Arabidopsis thaliana: one gene and its partners. The protein of the gene in region 2 interacts with the protein of the main gene of each other region in a pairwise test. Each region holds a gene or a part of one and is shown on either strand. Other genes may lie near its edges.

Region 1 (4,727 bases), on a different chromosome or scaffold from region 2:
GGGGCGGCAGACCCGAGAACGTGAACGCAGCTCAGACCACTCTCTTGGCCCGTGCCAAGGCCAATTCGTTGGCTCAGCTCGGAAAATACACCGGTGAGGGTGAGTCCGAAGAGGCTAAGGAGGGCATGTTCGTCAAAGGGTACACCTATTGAAGAGATGATGCTGTGAAAAAAGAGATGAAGCAGATGTTTTAATCACATTTGTTTTTGAGTTTGCTTGTTATTAATCATGTCAAATCATTATTTTCTCTGCTTACTTTGCGTTAGCTACTCCTTTTAATAAGTTCTATTATATTGAAGTTATCTATCTCTCTTGATCTATTTAAACTTGAAACTACAACTATTCCATAATCAACCAATTTTAAATTTTGAACAAAGAGGATACAGGAGGAAATGGTCTCCACGAAGCTTACAATTCTCAAAGGACAACGCTTAGCCTCATGGGGCCTTTGCATATTAAGTGGGCTTAATCTTTTAATTGGCCCAATTTTTCGTCTTCTTTCTTTTTCGTCCATTTCCCAGAGGATTTTATTAAGAAAAAAAAACAGAAACAAATAAAATTATTTAGAATTTCAGAGATTAGCTTACATTCATGTGAGCACTTAAGCTAATTCCTTAAAACTAAGATAATGCACAAACAACATAAACCTTCCCTCTTCAACAACAAAGCTCGGTTACACCAGCAACGATCTAAGAATCAGAAGGAAGGAAAAAAAACGGACATGAAATCTCCAGTTCTTGAAACTTTTTACAATCTTCTTCTTAAACTGATTTTTTGAATCAGAGTAAAGAGTCTCTTTCTCTCTCTCTCTCTCACCTTATCACTTCTCAGACTCTCGTTTAAAGGGTCCAACTGGTACAAGGCCTGCAGGCTCGTGATTGTTCTCGTTATTTACATCAATCCCCTGCTCATTGAGAAACATTCGAATTGAGAATACAAAAACAAAGATTGAGAATATGTTGGATAGAGGGATTCATATACGTTGTTATTTGATGATGGCTCATGTACTCTTTGTGGATTAGCATTTAGATCAATCATTTCGTCATCAATCTTCCCATTGGCTTCACCATTTCCATTTGTAGAGACTCTTTGGTTCTGCAAATTGTCCCTCGTATTGTTTTCTTTAGGCTTATCCCCTGGAAACTACAAGAAACGATAAACACAAGATGACTATTAAAACTAAGAAATCGACTCAAAATGATTGTGTGTCTGCGTGAGAAAGAAACAATTAGTTAATTCAAACCTCGATTCTCTGTCTCAGCAAAAGAAACCGACCGTGTGTTCTCTTGCCACCAACATGTACTACCATGTCACATTGCAGACAAAGAGAACTACCGTCTATCTCACAGTAAAAGAAGGCTGTTCTCACAACAAAAAACATTGCAGACAAAAGATTTCTCTTCATTTTTCAATATATGTACATATGCGAAAACATTAAACACGAGTGTGGGAAGTTCATTGTAAAGAGATCATACCAGGTGCATTTTCGCATATATCACAGCATGGGGCATTGCTTGGTTCAGCTAAACCAACACGTACATGCCGACTAGCTAGCTTGTTGCACATATGAACCTGAAAGAAGAAAACATTACAAAGCTTTGAAGTAATCCATTTCCGATCAAAATCCGAAAACTACTAAGAGCTATTGCAGTAGAGAAGGATGAACCAATGACTCGAGAAGGACTATAAAGTGTTACCCTTAAGAGTCATCTAACTGAAGTAAGGATTAAGCGCAAAGAGCAGAAAATCGATTATTTTCTTCTCCAGAAGTTAATACTACTAAATGCAAACTCTGGAGACAAAACGTTCCCTGCAATGTACATGACAGAGTAGAATCATTGAAACCGCAGCAACAAACACTCATGTAATCAAACATGTAAATTCATCAACTGAACCATCTTAATCCACCAAATGAGAGAAGAGGTTTCAACTATTTGAACTCTTTTGACGGATTCACTACACTTCGAAATATCTAATCTCATGTGAAGAGCCTAAGAATCTAGAAACCAAATCTCAAAAATCTTATTTCTTTAGCTCAAAGTTATCGAAAAGCCAGATCAACTCAGGTCCAAATCAACTGAGAATTCCCAGACAGAGATAACAAAGACTTGATCTTTGACGAACCCATCAGAGCACAACCAATAGATAGAGAGGAGAGTTAAAGAAAAAAAGGAAGCTTTTTTGGGAGAGAAGTTACTTTTTCATCGCAGGGGCGACAAAGGGCAGCTTCATCGGCGGCGCAAAAGATGATTGCGGCTGCGTTCTCGCAAGCATCGCACAAAATCCGCATCTTGCTTTTTCAATCTTATAAGTCTTTTTCTCACTCTATTCGGAACAATGAATCTCACCTTCAAGACAAAATCTTTAGCCAGAACTCAGATTGCGATTGAAAGAGATGAGAAGTGGAAATAATAAGTAGAAACCTCTGATTAATTAAGGAGGAAGTAGATTAAGGGTTAGGATTACGCGTTGGTATCAAGGAACTAGAAGAAGAAGAAGAAAGGGAAGAAATTATTTAAGATTATAAAAATCGCTCCTTTAAAATCTTTTTCTACGATGGAGGAGAAGCTTGAGAGACCAGAAGAGACGACGACCAAATCCACGCGCCGAGAGTATCAAATAAGCATACTTTGCTGTGACAAGGCAAAATCTGTTAATTACTACTTTGAGTAAATTTCTCCAATCAATTACTTTTTTTCTTTAATTGTGTGTTTTGACTAACGAAAATTATGATTAAAGTAGTACCTAACAAGAAATGTGTGTAGTATGATTTAGGAGAAAATATTGGGAAGACCAAATCTTTTATAGTGGATATGGTTTTGAGTTATAAGATTGTTTAAAGTCCATTATATCAGAGACCATTATCAGACAAAAAGAAAAATGATATCGACTAAAAAGTGAAGACGAAAGACTCAATGCCATCTGGGAGGTCATTGATGTGTCTCCCTGAAACACATTCGTTGTCTTGTTTCCTTTGTTTTGGTGAAAAAGTTTTTTTTGTCACAATCTTTATATGATTTCTTGGATCCTATATCTGATTTTTTTTCTTCCTTTTTTTGACGGCAGCTGAAATAGTTTTAGGCAACATAATGTGCTAAGATTTAGGACGTGTGACTATTTTTAAAAGTAAAAATATAAACTAAAATAAATAAAAAAGGGGGAAAAAATAAGAGCCACAAAAGGAATTAAAAAAAAAGACAAAGAGGTGGGTGGGCCAAATGTCACCAGCCATTTAAAAAATTGGTGGTCGAGAAGTAGTTGAAAGCAACTCTCAAAACTCTACTAGTGGCCTTGGTTTAATGTTGTTTTTATTTCCTTGCCCATCTTCTCAATTTCATTTAACTAACATCTTCACAATTATCTTAGTTTTTTTTTCTTTTCATCCCAAAGTTTATTCTTTCTCTCCTCCATAAACATTCTTTTGTAGCTTGTTTTATGACACTTTGGCATTTGTAAAATTTGAAAGAAAAGTTTTGACGCACCCTATTCATAAACACGAGAATCAATATTTGCATAATTACAATGTTCTCTTCTGTTGAAAATATAGATTATGGTTTTTATAAAAAACAGAGCATCCAAAGAAGAGAGTTTGCCTGCCATGTGCATCATTGCTAAATGTTGGGCTTTACTTGTAATGTTGGGCTAGATATCCATTATATTTGTTATCAAAATATCATTATGACCTTCTGGGCCGGGAGAAAAGGTCTCTCACTAATGGGCTACGATGAAGTGGAGTGTGAGGTCCACGTGGCGGGTTTAAGGTTCCTAATTAAGTTTCAGGGGTAAACCGGTCATTAACTACCCAAGCCGAGAGAGAGAGAGTCTGAGAAACCGGCGAATAGAAGAAAAGAGAGAATCTTTGGGACCAAATCAATGGAGTGGTCCCTTCAGACAAAAGTTAAGAAGAAGAAGACGACGACGACTACGACGAAGAACAAACAACTACCAAACTTGTAGGCAGTAGCAGGAGGAAGTGGGTGGGATTAACATTGTCATTTCTCTCTCTTTTTCTTTTACAAATCTTTCCGTTTTGTTTTCTTTTGGTTTTCCGGTGAGCACTGTTGTGTTTCCAATTCCGGCACTCTTTAGGGTTCCCTTTCAGAAGAAAACTTCACATTGTTGTTTCTCTCAACCGTGACATCTTGGATTACTACTTCTGACTACTTTCCTTTTTCATGTGCCCCAAAAGATAATAGTTACTTTTTCAAAATCTGGTTTTGTTGTTTGGGTTTGTGTCATTCATTGATAAAGTCACTAATGGAGAAGTACAAAACAATTGCAAAATTTCGAATCTGTGTTGTCATTGCTGAATTCTGTAGTGGATGTTTGCTTGCAGTTTAGAGCTTCGGAGTGCGAAGAGTGAGACACAAGAGGATTCTTTCTGGAACCGCATTATTCCCTTTAGAGGAGGAAGAAGAAGACAACTCACTCACAAGGTAAAAACAGCTCCTTTGCATGTTTCTTTATCTTGCTTGTTAGAGATGTAGACAAGACACGCACTTTATAGACGCAAAATCTTAGTATTCTGGTTCAAGATTGAGATGCATTTTGTGATAATGATTAAATGTTCTGTTGGTGCAATTGATAAGGTTTCATTGAGTTTTGACTAAGTAAACTCCAAGTTACTTTTTTTAACCTTTAAACACGCATTTGTGACTGACCTTGTCTCCCTCTCCATTGATGAATTCAAAAACTACAAAGCTATTATTTTTATGTTTGATTTTGCG
Region 2 (4,242 bases):
AAATAGTCTGCATGAAATTATAATTAAGTAGTACTGTATTAAAAGGATGTTCATTTGGTGGTACATATATTTAGGCACCAATGACATATTTTCTTCGGTTAATAATCAAACCTTATAATATTTGATCTTCCTTAAGAACGCAACAACACAAAAATTATATCCGACGATTGCAAATTAAATTCCACAAAATATAAAATCTTGGTCTCAACTCTCAAGTCCTTCTATTACGATAATTTATAGATTAATCCGGATTCAGGACACAGAATTTTCTCAGTACATACGCATCTTGTAATTTAGACAATATATACCATAGTCCATAGCCAAAATGAGTATAAAGTGAAACTAGGCCAGTTTGGAATAAATTTTTGGTTTTACTTCAGAATTTCAGTTTAAGATTGGTTTCATGACAAACCTTTAAACTTAATAATGTTTTAAAATAAATTAACTTCTGCTCAATCCTTTTTATCGATTGGTCTGATTGAATTTCTGTAAATATGAAGAAAAAAAAATACCGAATGGTGATGAGTCTGATTAAACATCCTTAAAATAAAAATAGAAAATTAGACCTGATAAAGGTGGAAAAGTACAACCTTATATTTGTTATACAAGAACATGTTTGGGATGGCTTAACTAATTTTCACATTTGGCTCAAACAAGAGCTCTAATTGATTAGTACTTTCTACATTATCTTTAATTAACATATGGTCCACCTTATAGTACATGTGGTACGGACAAATTAACATAAACCCTGAGAGGCAGAGTTTCCAACAGACAAAAAGTCGAAAAATGGAACACAATTCTCGTTAGGAATTCGGTTGTTTTGATCGACATCTTCTTCTTCGTCTTTTCTTGAATTATCTATCAATTCGTGTATCTTCGAATCCGTGTTTACTTGAAGAAAATTGTAGAACTCCATCGGTCGTTTAGTTTGGTCTATTGCTCCTGACAAATTAATCCATGTCCAAAAGTTAGTTTTGGAAGTTACACAAGTATGTAATCGTACCCACATGCAAGTGTACATCCATATGCATGCATGTAACTATGAAAATCATGATCGTTTCATACTATCTTTACAAAAAAAATTGATCAAAAATTAATTTAGAGTTTACAGAAAACAATGAATTTTAACCCATATAATCTATACAAAAATCGTTTTTTTTTTTAAATCAAGTTGTATACGAATTAATGCACCATTACTCATTTACTTGCACATTAATATGACGAATGTACATGTTTTCTATGAGTTCGTAATTTATATATGCCTATATGTATTCACACAAAATACAATATACGTATGGCTACACATGTTTTATCTTTGTGCAGCTATATTAGCTACATAAACACAGAAATTCAAGCCATATTATCTAATTACCTTCTTGTATTGGAGTAGTACTATTTCTGAACCCGATCTTTCCGGTCAAGAACTCTTTGAGGACTTGAAAATGATTAATATGAGAGAATTGATAAGGAAAATTGATAGCGGTTGTGGTTGCCAATCTTCTCTCCTTATCGCAGTCTTTATAATTACCAATCATCCCAGTCGCAGCCACCGTGCCATCATGGCCAAGGCCTCGTGGACGGAGCTTGGACCGTTCTCGGCCACGACGAGCCATGATGACGTGCCAATGGTTTTTAACAGCGTTATCAGTTCGACCGGGAAAAAATCTAGCGATCACAGACCATCTGTTCCCATGGATCCGATGAGACGCTAAAAGCCTTTCTTCTTCTTCCTCCGTGAAAGGGTTTCGGTTAATCCTAGGATCCAATTGATTAAACCATCTCAATCTACAACTCTTACCTGAAACCAAAAGATCCAATCAAACCAACATATATATTTTTATATAAATATATTAAACCCTAGTTTATATATGCTTTGTAAGAAATTAAAGAAATGACTTTAATATAAAGTCAGTTTTACCAGATCGACCAGAGAGCTTCTGAGCTATGGCGTTCCAATTATGAGGACCAAATTGTTCGACGAGTTCTCTTAGCTTCTCGTCTTCTGCAGGTCTCCAATGGCCTCGACTACACATCATTTTTTAATACCTCTCTCCTTTTGATCTTTATGATCTTCAATAAATCACAACCTATATATAAATTTATATATGTTGTTGATATAGTTAAGAAACCCTAGGTTTGATGTAGGTGAGGGAAGATGGGTATGTAGGAACAAGAAGAAAGCTGAAGAGCAACAGCACCATACATACATGTATTTATATAAGTATATTTATTTAGATATTATATAAAGAATTGAAAGTAATGAATATAATAAGATTCGTTAGAGAGTGAGGGAAAGTTTGGAGAGAGGTTTTCACCGGCGATTGATGCCAACGTCTTCCCTAACCAAACACACTCCTTTTAAGTAATCTACCCTTTTTTATTTTTCCATTTATTTCGTAATTTTTATATACATTATTTTGGTTTATGTGAGAGTTTTAATAATTGAGTAATTGATGAGTAATGAAAAGAAAAAAGGAGATTACACAGGAGGGAAGAGATTGCTTGGTGGGGTGTTTTCGTTAAACTTTCAACGTCTACCCTTAAATATATTTTTTTCCAACCTAAACCCTCTACTTCAGCCACCAATACTTCATCTACGTTCGTATAACCTTTTACAAGCTACATGTACACATGTATATTAATTATTATGGTCAGCTTTTTATATATGGACAACTTCTAGAATATGAATCAAGGTGGGAGAACGCTATAATTAGTTAACTACAATATATGGTTCAAAGAACGAACATTTAGATTGCAAAATCTATAGTTGCATTTACCTGTTATGATGTTGTATTAGTGTTACTTTGAAAGAAATAAATAAAACTTACATTTGTTAGTGTTTAACTACATAAAACAACAATGTTACAAGCAATGAAAATCTCAAAAGTCTAGCTATGTATATTACATGTGGACAATATTTTCCAAATTTATGAAATTTTACATAACCGCAAATTAAATCAACAATAAAAAATAACTAAGGCGAACTCGTACGTCCAGAATTAAGGGGGAATGTAACGGTTATTATTTCAGGATTTGTGGATCGAACTCGATGACTAAATTTCAACCGTATTGCCTTTTGGTATAACTAATGGACAATTGTTACAAGTTTTAAAATGGTTTTATAACTTCGAAAATATCAATACATTGTTAAGAGAAAAATACTGGAGGGGAAGGAGAGAGTTTGGTAAAGATGTTGGGGACCTATGATTTAATTGCAGGTCACGTATAAGTAGAATAAAGTAATTAAATATCGTTGGATATGTTTTGTTAAACCTTTCAGACCTAACCAAATGTTTTATTTTCCTTAAATCGGACCAACGTGGAAACCCTAAAACGACTCTGTGTCTTAATTAATTAATAGGTTAACTGACTGATATATCAGTGGCTTTGTACTTTATAAAAATGAATTTGACATCTTATTTGCTCAAACATATATTTGGTCTTCAAGCACATCACCAACTTTCTCTCTTGTCTTGTCTACGACGGTTGGCTTTTAATTTGTACTCTCAGTTCTCTAACAAATTTAAATTGAAAAAAAAAACATGAAATGTAGCATTGGTTACCGACTTCTATTTCATGGTTACCGACTTCTATTTTTAACATTCAGATAAGATATAATAACATAGCCTAAATACTTAAGAACATTAAAAATAAATATATGAAATATAAATAAAATGATAGGAATAAGTTGAAAACCTGAAAAGTGATGTATTGTACTTCAAAGTTCAAATTTTCCTTGAGATTGCTTGCAAAACAGTTTATTGAATATTTATAAGGATTGATTGGATATATAGCTTATAATCCAATCAACTAATCAATTCAATCCTAGGTAAGCTATAACCAAACTGTTTTAGAACTCATTAGTCATTTGCACGTGTGTAGGAACAAAGCCAAACTTAATTACTGGTGGAGATTAGTAGGAAAATAGGCAGAGTTAGTTGGGAAGGAAGTCAAATACAATCTTTCACAACTAAAAAGAATTTCTTCAAATAAGATTTCTTCAAATAAAGCAAACCGGATCCTGATTACACTAAACCGGTTAGGTCTATCAACAAATTGGTTAATCAGAAAGCAAAAAGGCAAAGCAAGGATGACTATTGAATCATGGGGATAATTAATGAGCTTGCTGGTTACAGCAGTGGGTAATATCTAGTATATATGTACAGTAGTATGTATAGCATCATTGCACTCACATCAATTAGTGACCAATTTGGGATCATCTCTACAATCAGATTCATGGAC
Region 3 (4,335 bases), 5.2 Mb from region 2:
ATACACATGCCTCATATGAAAGCTACTAGCTTTCGTGTGGTGTCCAAAGAAGAACAATTGGAGAACTTGTCGCACCTTTTTATATACAAAAAAGGATGTGACATATAACTTTAGGGAGACGGTACTAACACAACTGTATTCTCGTCTACCAGGCACCAGCATAACCAAAACATAACACATTTCAGGGTGAGGGGGATGAATAATTCGAGAATTGTGCATAGGTACATTCATAAAATTAAATCATAAACATAACACGTTTCAGGGTATACGATGAGATGAAACATTTATTTTCAAGAAACGCATATCTTAATATCATTTATAAAACTTAATAGCGTAAACCGAAAACGCAATGTGATCAATCGTCCAGTGATATTTTATACGTTTAAAAGCTTAATACAAATTAACTATAAAACAAAAACCATCAGTTAATCAATATACATATCACAATGATGAAAACAGACGAAGACGAAAACAAAAAAGAAGATCAATATACATATCAATATTCAATTGTGAGGTTGTAATGTTCAAATTGATCTATTAAAGATTTAACAAAGTATACATGAAAAGGGAAAAATATCTATAGAATTGGTGAAACATTGCACAATCCGAGTCCACAAGATATTACAAGTTCAACATATTATTTGGTAAAAATCCCATCAGAAAAAGAAAATTCTAAAAAATAAACGACAATACACAAGACACTTCTGAATTAGCTAAAAAAAAAAATCTTCAAAATAAATTTGAACAAACAATCTCTCCATGCATTGACCAAACCGTTACGAACCGATTATTCTCCCATGATTCATGAATGTGATTAAAATTCTTCCACCGAAATTTACATTCTCAAGTCAGATCTCCTCCCGGCGAATCTCCACCGTCAATCCCTCAAGTCAAGAGATCATTGACCCATCCTAGATCAGGGTCACCACAAGAACCATCCTCAATGTTAGTATTCTCCCTAACGGCCGTCATCGCCGTGAAATCGTTCATCTGTCTCCGGCGAGGAGTGAAATCATCACTGAAGAAGTTCGCCTGAGGTGAGTTAGTTAGGTAACTTGGAGTGGAAGGCGAAAGAGCAAATTGCAAAGGGCTACTTGGTTGTTGTTGCTGGAGATGGAGACGCTGATTGCTCAGACCGCAGGACGACGCAAACGCGGCAGCCGCAGCGGAAACCGGAGTTGTAACGGGCGACGAGGAACTCGCCTGCAGCGCTTCCGCTAAGCTCATGGAATCCAAAGAATTCACAAGCTCGCTCAAAACGTCTTTATAGTTCATTGAACCAGCGGCTGCAGCGGCGGAAACGGCAGAAGCGGCGCGGTTCCTCAACCGTGAAAAAGCAGCGGCTTTATTAGCCGGAGACATAGGTGGAGACAGAGACGGAGATCGAGAAAGATGAGACAAATTACCCAAAAGAGTGCTCGTGGGAGAGCTGCTACAAAACAAGCAACATGGATTCTTCGCCGCAGGAGAAGGCGACGCTGAGACACCGGAAACGTTCTCCGGAGGAAGAACCCTAAGCTGACGTGGCGAATGAGCAAAGAAACAGACTTTCCTTTTACAGTGTTTACCGTCTTTACAAGCTTCAGTACGGTAACGAATAGGATGGAGCCAACACTCGAAGACTCCATGAGCAAACTCACAATCATCTCCACGGCTACAATCACCACCACGACGAAACTCGGGACAAACCTCACCGGAGTATTGAAAGCGACGAGGGTCACGACGGCGAGCTTTCTCACCGGGATGAGCAAAAGGACAATCAGTCCAATCGTGGCTTCGGCTACGAGTGCAACGACGGATCTTGAATTCGAACATCCGGAAATGATCACTTGCGTAAGGATCATCAGAGTCAGAATCATAACAGTACTCTTTATTCTCTCTGTTGTTGTCTTCGTTGTCTTCTTCATGTTCAGATGTAATCTTGTTGCTTTTGTTCCAGTTATGTTTACGCGGCGAGCGAGGGGAAGAAGAATCAGAAGGAAAACTCTTGGAAGATAAAAGAAGCTTTCTCGGAGGAATCTCCACCGTTGGCTTCCTCATTTGATGTTCCGTACAAACGACATCCATGATGATATAATATCTAACTTGTTTTTTTTGTTTGTGATGTGTTTTGGTTTTGAGGGATTTGTGTAAGATGAAAGATGGGATATTGTGGTTTATATATATGTGGATTGAGTATAGATATAGACATGAGAATAAGTTAAAACGTATATTTAAATATTGTTAGCTTTGGATTATTATCATTAAATAGAATTTTGATGAGATGTAATAAGAAGACAAGAGATTAAAAAGTGGAAGGAGTCGTGTGAAGGGTATGGGGAGAGGGTTCGTGGCGAGATAAGAGAAGAGTTTTAGAGAGGTTTCATGCAAAAGAAGCAGGAGCTGCCTTTCTCTCCTTGCTTCAGACCTAACACATGTGCCTATGTTTTCATCAGCATCATCCTCTCTTTCTCTCTCCCTTATCAACATCCATTTACTTTCTAATTTGTTTTTTTGTTAGAATTATACTTGAAAGTATAAGGATAAAACAACTAACTTTATAACAAATTAATTATAATGTATGAATTTGTCTTCTAGTTTGTTACCAAGTAGGCAAGTACTTTGTGACTTTGATACCAAAAATAAGTAACCACCCCATATATATGATTATGTTACTGTTTGATAAGTATTCTTGTTTGTTAAAGCGATCAGCATTTGAAGTATTATTTTTCCTTACTTAGGATTATTATTTAAAGCAGTTTTACTTATTTTTTCATATATTAATTTGTATTTTTGGATTTTAAGTTAAGTGTTCATATTTTTCTTCTTTTACTTAATTTTATCTCTTAGAAGAAAATATTTTAACAAAAACTTAAAATCATTAATTTTTACTCTCTTGGATACGTAACTGCTATGTAAAATAACGTAGTACATAACCGAATAAGTATCAGTATGACAGAAAATCGATCAATATATCATCTAAATTAAATGAGTAAATTGGTAAGAAAACAATTAACTGGTAGATTTAGAAACATTAAATTTGGTTCATCCCCTCGGACTATAGGTTCAATCACGTTTCAAGATCATAAAAGCGACGAAATAACAAATATAACGAAATTCAAATATAATATTCTTAGCTTGTTTTCCTAAGAACATAGTTTCACAACTTCGAAAAGTTTATATGTAAAGAAAGACGTTCTTCAAACTTAAACTGTAGAACACTTTAATTATGTAAAGATCTTCCATATAAATAATTTAACCACAACTAAACTGTAGAACACTTTAATTAATTTTAACTTAAAATTAAGAAATATTAATGACTATAATAAAAAGAACTCGTACAACCTATTTATAAAAGACCTAGTTTAATTAATTTCTTGATACAATAATACAATCGCATAATTTGTCTGAATAAATTATACACGAACTTATAGAAGATCTTGTATACAACGAATCTAAGAAGACTTTACAACACAGAAAGGATATGCACGAGATTAAATACAAAACACGTATAAAAAAAATACGTTTTTTTATTTTGTACGCCATTTATCAGCGGAAACAAATGATATTTAATTACTTTTATAATTTTCAGTCTATCTATTAATGTATCTAAAAATCGGGTGCATGTGTATGTACAAGTGTCACTTTTTCCATTGTTGCGTGGCTCTGATGGAAGCAAATACATTTTTGGTTTCTACCTTCACAAGTCTTCAACTCCATAAATTAATTATTTAAAATACCAATTTCTAACTTTTATGCCAAAATTTTGAAGAATAAAATTAAGTTCCGAAATTGTGTGTTTTCATTTGGAATCGGATAGAAGAACCACGACAAAAACAGATATACAGATGAAAGCGGTAATTTACATTTAAAGTATAAACGAGAAATTAACTAATATTGTTTCGACGGCAAATAGAACACTGGTTTTGTTACATGACATTATGTTTCGGTTTTGGCAAGTTCAATGTTTTGGGACTGGTATCTCATTTTGTATCTAATTTTTGGTTATGTCCTTACTTAAATTATGGTTCCACACAATCCAAAGCTTCTCATTTTGTATTTAGTGATATGATTACTTATATATACAAATAGTAAACAATAAATATATATATGTTTACTGAAAAATGCAAAAACATGTACCACAAATTTCTATAATAGTTACAAATACATTAATATCTTCATAGTTCTCAAAAATAACTATCTAGATGTAATATACACATAACACAACTTGTAATTTGTTTTCTTTCTTCTTCTCGATTCAGAAAGAGATCTTACATACTTTTCTCAGTTTCTGATAAGGTTAATCACGTGGTTGTGATAAAGTTCTAAAAGAGAGGAAGAAGAAATCTGTAGGGA
Region 4 (4,533 bases), on a different chromosome or scaffold from region 2:
ATGAATGTATGGGTTGATTACTTTAAGTTAGTTTATTTGAGTGGAAGCTTCTTTGATATCTTAAGAATTCTTAAGGTATATAATATATGTTTACCTTTGGAGATTGCTAGTACTTAGCACGATGTGTAATCAACGTGAGAGTATTATGAAATCATCAAAGTAACATGGCCATGTGTTCATTATATGTTTTTCAATGCTAAAAGTTATCATCTTTGTACTTTCTAAATACTTTTGTAAATCAAGTTGGTAAAAGAAAAATCAGACCATTAAGGAACATACTAAACTATACATTAACTATTTAAGGGTCCATATACATTAACGATGTGTAATCAATTTGTTTTAGTTGGAGTTCGATATTTTTAATTGTTTTATGTATATCGTTTGCAACTCACTTATGGACTACCGAATTTAAATGACGGATCTAATACGGCGACGACGTTTTATCTCAAATCCACTTTGTTCTCAATAGGTGAATATCGTTTTGTTTTGCCTTTAACCTATCTAAAACCCCATTTATCTCACTTATAGAACTCAGTGCCATGCTAAGACAATTGCAATCGTCAATTGACAAAGTGGCATATACCACTCATGCAGAATTGTATGGCCAGTGAAAAAGGATTAGTTTGCAAATATCTCAGATCAAAAATACAAGATATGTTATTCTTATATACAAAGATAACACAAAACCTACACATGAGTTTAGCAACATGGGGAAATCTTTTAAACCAAAACAAATTAAAGTGCCATATATAAACATATATAAGAAAAACAAACATAGAAGAGATTAAATTAGTTGAGGAAGTGATTAGCAGAGAAAGAATCAAGAAAAGATGCCCACGTGTCGACATCTCCTACCACGGCTTCCATAACATCAACTTGTTCTTGTTGTGAGATCTCATCATTTCTTGCAAATCTCCCTCTTATTCTTGGCCTACTGTCCGCTAATGTCTTCCTGCATTCGTACTAATAGAAAGATAAAAGATTATTATTAAACCTGTCCCAAAGTATTGTGATAGTTTTTAGATCATTCACAAGTCAAAACTTGTCGGTCAAAAAATTATAACGCGAGCAGAAATATCTCATTGAGATACGGTTTGAATATGTTAGTACATGAATACTCCAATCCGATCTTTAATTAGCAATGAAATATATTTGTGGACCTTCTTGTAAGAAAAAACTAATGGAGAAAAAAACTTGTAGCAACCTTGGAGCTTGATGTGTCTATCTCAAAGGATTCCTTAGACCCAAATATGATGTGACAGAACATTAATTCTCGTTCACATACTCATATATATCAGATGAAATTCTATTTATGTTTGAAGATAAGATTGAAAAGAAAAATTCAATGTTACTTTTTAGTGATAAGAGTGATTGATATGATACATTGAGCCTGTTTTTTTTTTTTTTTTTGGTCAACGAACCATTTAGTTTTGTATTAAATGTGAAAAAAAAACAGTATTACTAAGAAAAGATATCTTATACATTTGATTTTAAGAAAATAGACATTTATATATGCTCTTGTGTATGAAATTATACAGAAATCATTATTAGTTGATTAATGAAGAAATTTATAGGAAATTGTATGCTTGATTAGAAAATGGTTGCATCAATATATGTGAAGGTGCATGTCACTGTTCCATACAACTACTGTACATGTCAAGTCCTCAAAAGTTTTCCATGCGACACATATATACACATGTTGAATATATAATATAGGTTAGGTGTACATGGACTCTATGTGATGAAGAACAATATGAATCAAATGATAAATTCTTATATGTTAAAATAAGATATAAGAATTTATGCTAACAAACAGTTTAGAACAAAGAAACAACTGTAAAACATTTATAAAATTACCTTAATCCTCTTGTTGAAATTCCTAAGGTTTCGTTTGCTACGATATTTCTCGATCTTTTCTTTCTTCTCCTCAGGACTATACTTGTAGGCTTTGCTCATTCCTTCTATTATTGCATTGCTCTCACTCCACACCGTACTGCTCTCTCTTCTGCTACTCCTCTACACACATACCAAAACAGTGTCGTCTTATGTTATGATAGAATTATTATTATTTTCAAATAAAACCCCAAATTTTAGTATGTTTAGATAATTTATTTGTGTTTTGGTGTTTTCATTTTACACTCTTGCAAAACCATAAAACAAACCAACAATATAATGTTTCGTTTTATAAAATGTGAAAAATTTCATACGTAAACGAAAACATAAAAGTTAACGTTTGAAATCTCGAAACTGCAAGTGTGTATATAATATTACTTACGGGTAGATCTCCGGCGCTAAGGGCCCGTCTCACTGGCCCATCATCATCGTTAACGAAATCATGGGCCGCTGTGTAATTACCGGAAAAGCCATTATGGCTACTAACACTCCTCTGCATAACAAGACTCTCTCCGCCACTCCCCATAGAGCTTGGCGAGTCGCAGCTGCTGCTTCCACCACCACCGTTCATGCCGGAATCAAAGTAACCGAACCCTGAAACCGCCTCGGCCGCGTATAGAGAGTTTTGGCTCATCATAAGAAGCGCCAAAGGCGGAGGCGGGAACTGATGATGATGATGATCAAGCAGCTGAGGAGGAGCCACTATGTCGTCGGAGTATAGAAAACATGGACAGTTGTCGCCGGAGGTTATAGAAGTGCTGACGTGTCCACACATGGTGGGTTTTAGTTTATTGTGGTGTTTATGTGTCTTTGTGTGTTTGTTTATGTGTGTGTGTGTGAGTGAGTGAAACTCGAAGTGGTTTGGTTTCTATTTAACAGAGGAAGGACTGATGCTGACGTCATTAATCGTCATCTGAAGTCAACTGACTTAACCGTTGACTTCTTTTGACTGACTAGGAAAAAAGGAATCTTTAGGTATAAAAAGAGTTGCCTTTCGTTTTCAGGTCGCTTCTATCTCACTCTCACCCGTTATTCTTCAAACGACATATATTACACGAAATTGAATCCGACATGTATTATACGAAGGTGAATTTGGATAGTTGAACAAAAATGATAATTATTTTTTCATTTAGGTTTAAAAATGTTTTCATTAAAAATAGAACTACTACTAAAAACAAAAATTCAAATATACTTACTTATATATAGGTTACTGATTAATATGCTATCAATTATAAATACAGAGGAAGAAAGCTAGTGACAAATAATTACTAATTATAACCAAGTGTTGTTAATTCAATTAGTAAAAACCCTAGACGAAACTTAGAGATCGCCAGTTCGAATGACGTTTAGAACAAAAGTAATATTATATGCTGTAGTTTCGGGTACGGAGGGATTACGGGTTTCAGTCCAAAACCTCTTGGTATTCAAAAAAAAAAATACTAATTATATTGAATTTCAAAAAAATTGTTATTATATTGAATTTTATAATTAGTAAACTCTTTCTTTTTTTTCAATCTCTTTAACACATTTACGTTTCAAACTAAATGGCGTTATAACATTTTTTAATGTATTAAGAATTTCACAACGATAATTGTTGTAAAATGGAAGGCATAATCATTTCTTGAAACAGTAAATTTACTGATATTTTCGTAAGCAATTGTGTTTTAACTTCAAGTCCTTGACGAAAAAAAATATACAATTGTGTTTTAAAATAGTAGATAGATAACATCTCGTGCAACATTCATAAATCATAACAGCAAAAGAACAATGTAAAGAAAAATAAAATAAAATAAAGGACACGACTTAGCTTTTTAGCTCGAATTGTATAGGAGAGACAAAAAGATGGTTAAAAGCATTATTTCACGCAAACCCATGTGAGCAGCATACAAATCTACTTTTTTGCCTAATTAATCATTAACTTAATCAACAGTAATAATTAATTAAGCTCAGATACTTGATTGCTTTGGTTATGTTCACATTAAACGGGTGTTTAGTCCGGTCCGGATAATTAACCAGACAAGACACGATAGTACTGCTCTGTATATGAATTGTATATCTGTTCCAATCCATGATTAGTCAGGTTAATTAGCCAGAATTTTTTGTTTGGAATCAAATCGATTTAGGTAACATATCGAGAGAATATCTCAAACGAGTTATACATAGCTACCCCTACGGTAAAGTATATAAATATTGTTTTTTTTTATAGATATTTTGTTTACGATTAGTTACATTCCAAGAACGAAATTCGAATAGTAGGATCACTGCATATATACCAATATATTGTAGGAACACGTTGTAGTCAGTCACTAAATTGGCCTACTCATCATCATCATCATACATAATACATAATCACTCATTTAAGAACAAAACAACTTATAATTTCCTGTTTAAGCCTCACTCCATAATGAGGATACATAATATCAACCCAACTCGTGGTGTTTGTTTAGTAGAAAAATTAACCCACATATCACATTATTACTACTAGATGATATTGATTATATTTATCTAATTCAGTCCAATCCAAGTTTAAACTAAAATGATTATATATCTATATGTATCCAAAATATTTCATTTGGATGATGGTAACAAACCGAACCAAAAATGAAAAATCAAATTTGTTACATCTAAAACCTAAATTTG

The links.
Region 1: the proteins of MYB52 (region 2) and BBX19 interact in a two-hybrid assay, tested with the Arabidopsis thaliana proteins (one large-scale study listed by BioGRID).
Region 3: the proteins of MYB52 (region 2) and SOM interact in a two-hybrid assay, tested with the Arabidopsis thaliana proteins (one large-scale study listed by BioGRID).
Region 4: the proteins of MYB52 (region 2) and AT5G59990 interact in a two-hybrid assay, tested with the Arabidopsis thaliana proteins (one large-scale study listed by BioGRID).

Annotation. Positions count from the first base shown.
Region 1 is NC_003075.7:18,159,139-18,163,865, reverse strand, and holds BBX19 (B-box type zinc finger family protein), read right to left. Parts: upstream 2,779-4,727; 5' UTR 2,291-2,778; coding exon 2,198-2,290; intron 1,992-2,197; coding exon 1,896-1,991; intron 1,811-1,895; coding exon 1,778-1,810; exon of another isoform or gene 1,698-1,777; intron 1,573-1,697; coding exon 1,476-1,572; intron 1,360-1,475; coding exon 1,244-1,359; intron 1,144-1,243; coding exon 982-1,143; coding exon of another isoform or gene 905-981; coding exon 821-904; 3' UTR 545-820; downstream 1-544. Other genes in the region: FBA2 (fructose-bisphosphate aldolase 2), read left to right, coding at 1-152.
Region 2 is NC_003070.9:6,175,558-6,179,799, reverse strand, and holds MYB52 (myb domain protein 52), read right to left. Parts: upstream 2,320-4,242; 5' UTR 2,037-2,319; coding exon 1,919-2,036; intron 1,799-1,918; coding exon 1,373-1,798; intron 943-1,372; coding exon 737-942; 3' UTR 511-736; downstream 1-510. UniProt on the Arabidopsis thaliana protein: Transcription factor that confers sensitivity to abscisic acid (ABA) and salt, but tolerance to drought. Regulates secondary cell wall (SCW) biosynthesis, especially in interfascicular and xylary fibers.
Region 3 is NC_003070.9:952,321-956,655, reverse strand, and holds SOM (Zinc finger C-x8-C-x5-C-x3-H type family protein), read right to left. Parts: upstream 2,367-4,335; 5' UTR 2,068-2,366; coding exon 886-2,067; 3' UTR 512-885; downstream 1-511. UniProt on the Arabidopsis thaliana protein: Probable transcription repressor that functions as a negative regulator of phytochrome-mediated promotion of seed germination. Inhibits seed germination by regulating the expression of gibberellic acid (GA) and abscisic acid (ABA) metabolic genes.
Region 4 is NC_003076.8:24,150,417-24,154,949, forward strand, and holds AT5G59990 (CCT motif family protein), read right to left. Parts: upstream 2,786-4,533; 5' UTR 2,669-2,785; coding exon 2,276-2,668; intron 2,017-2,275; coding exon 1,858-2,016; coding exon of another isoform or gene 1,846-1,857; exon of another isoform or gene 1,435-1,845; intron 964-1,434; coding exon 790-963; 3' UTR 518-789; downstream 1-517.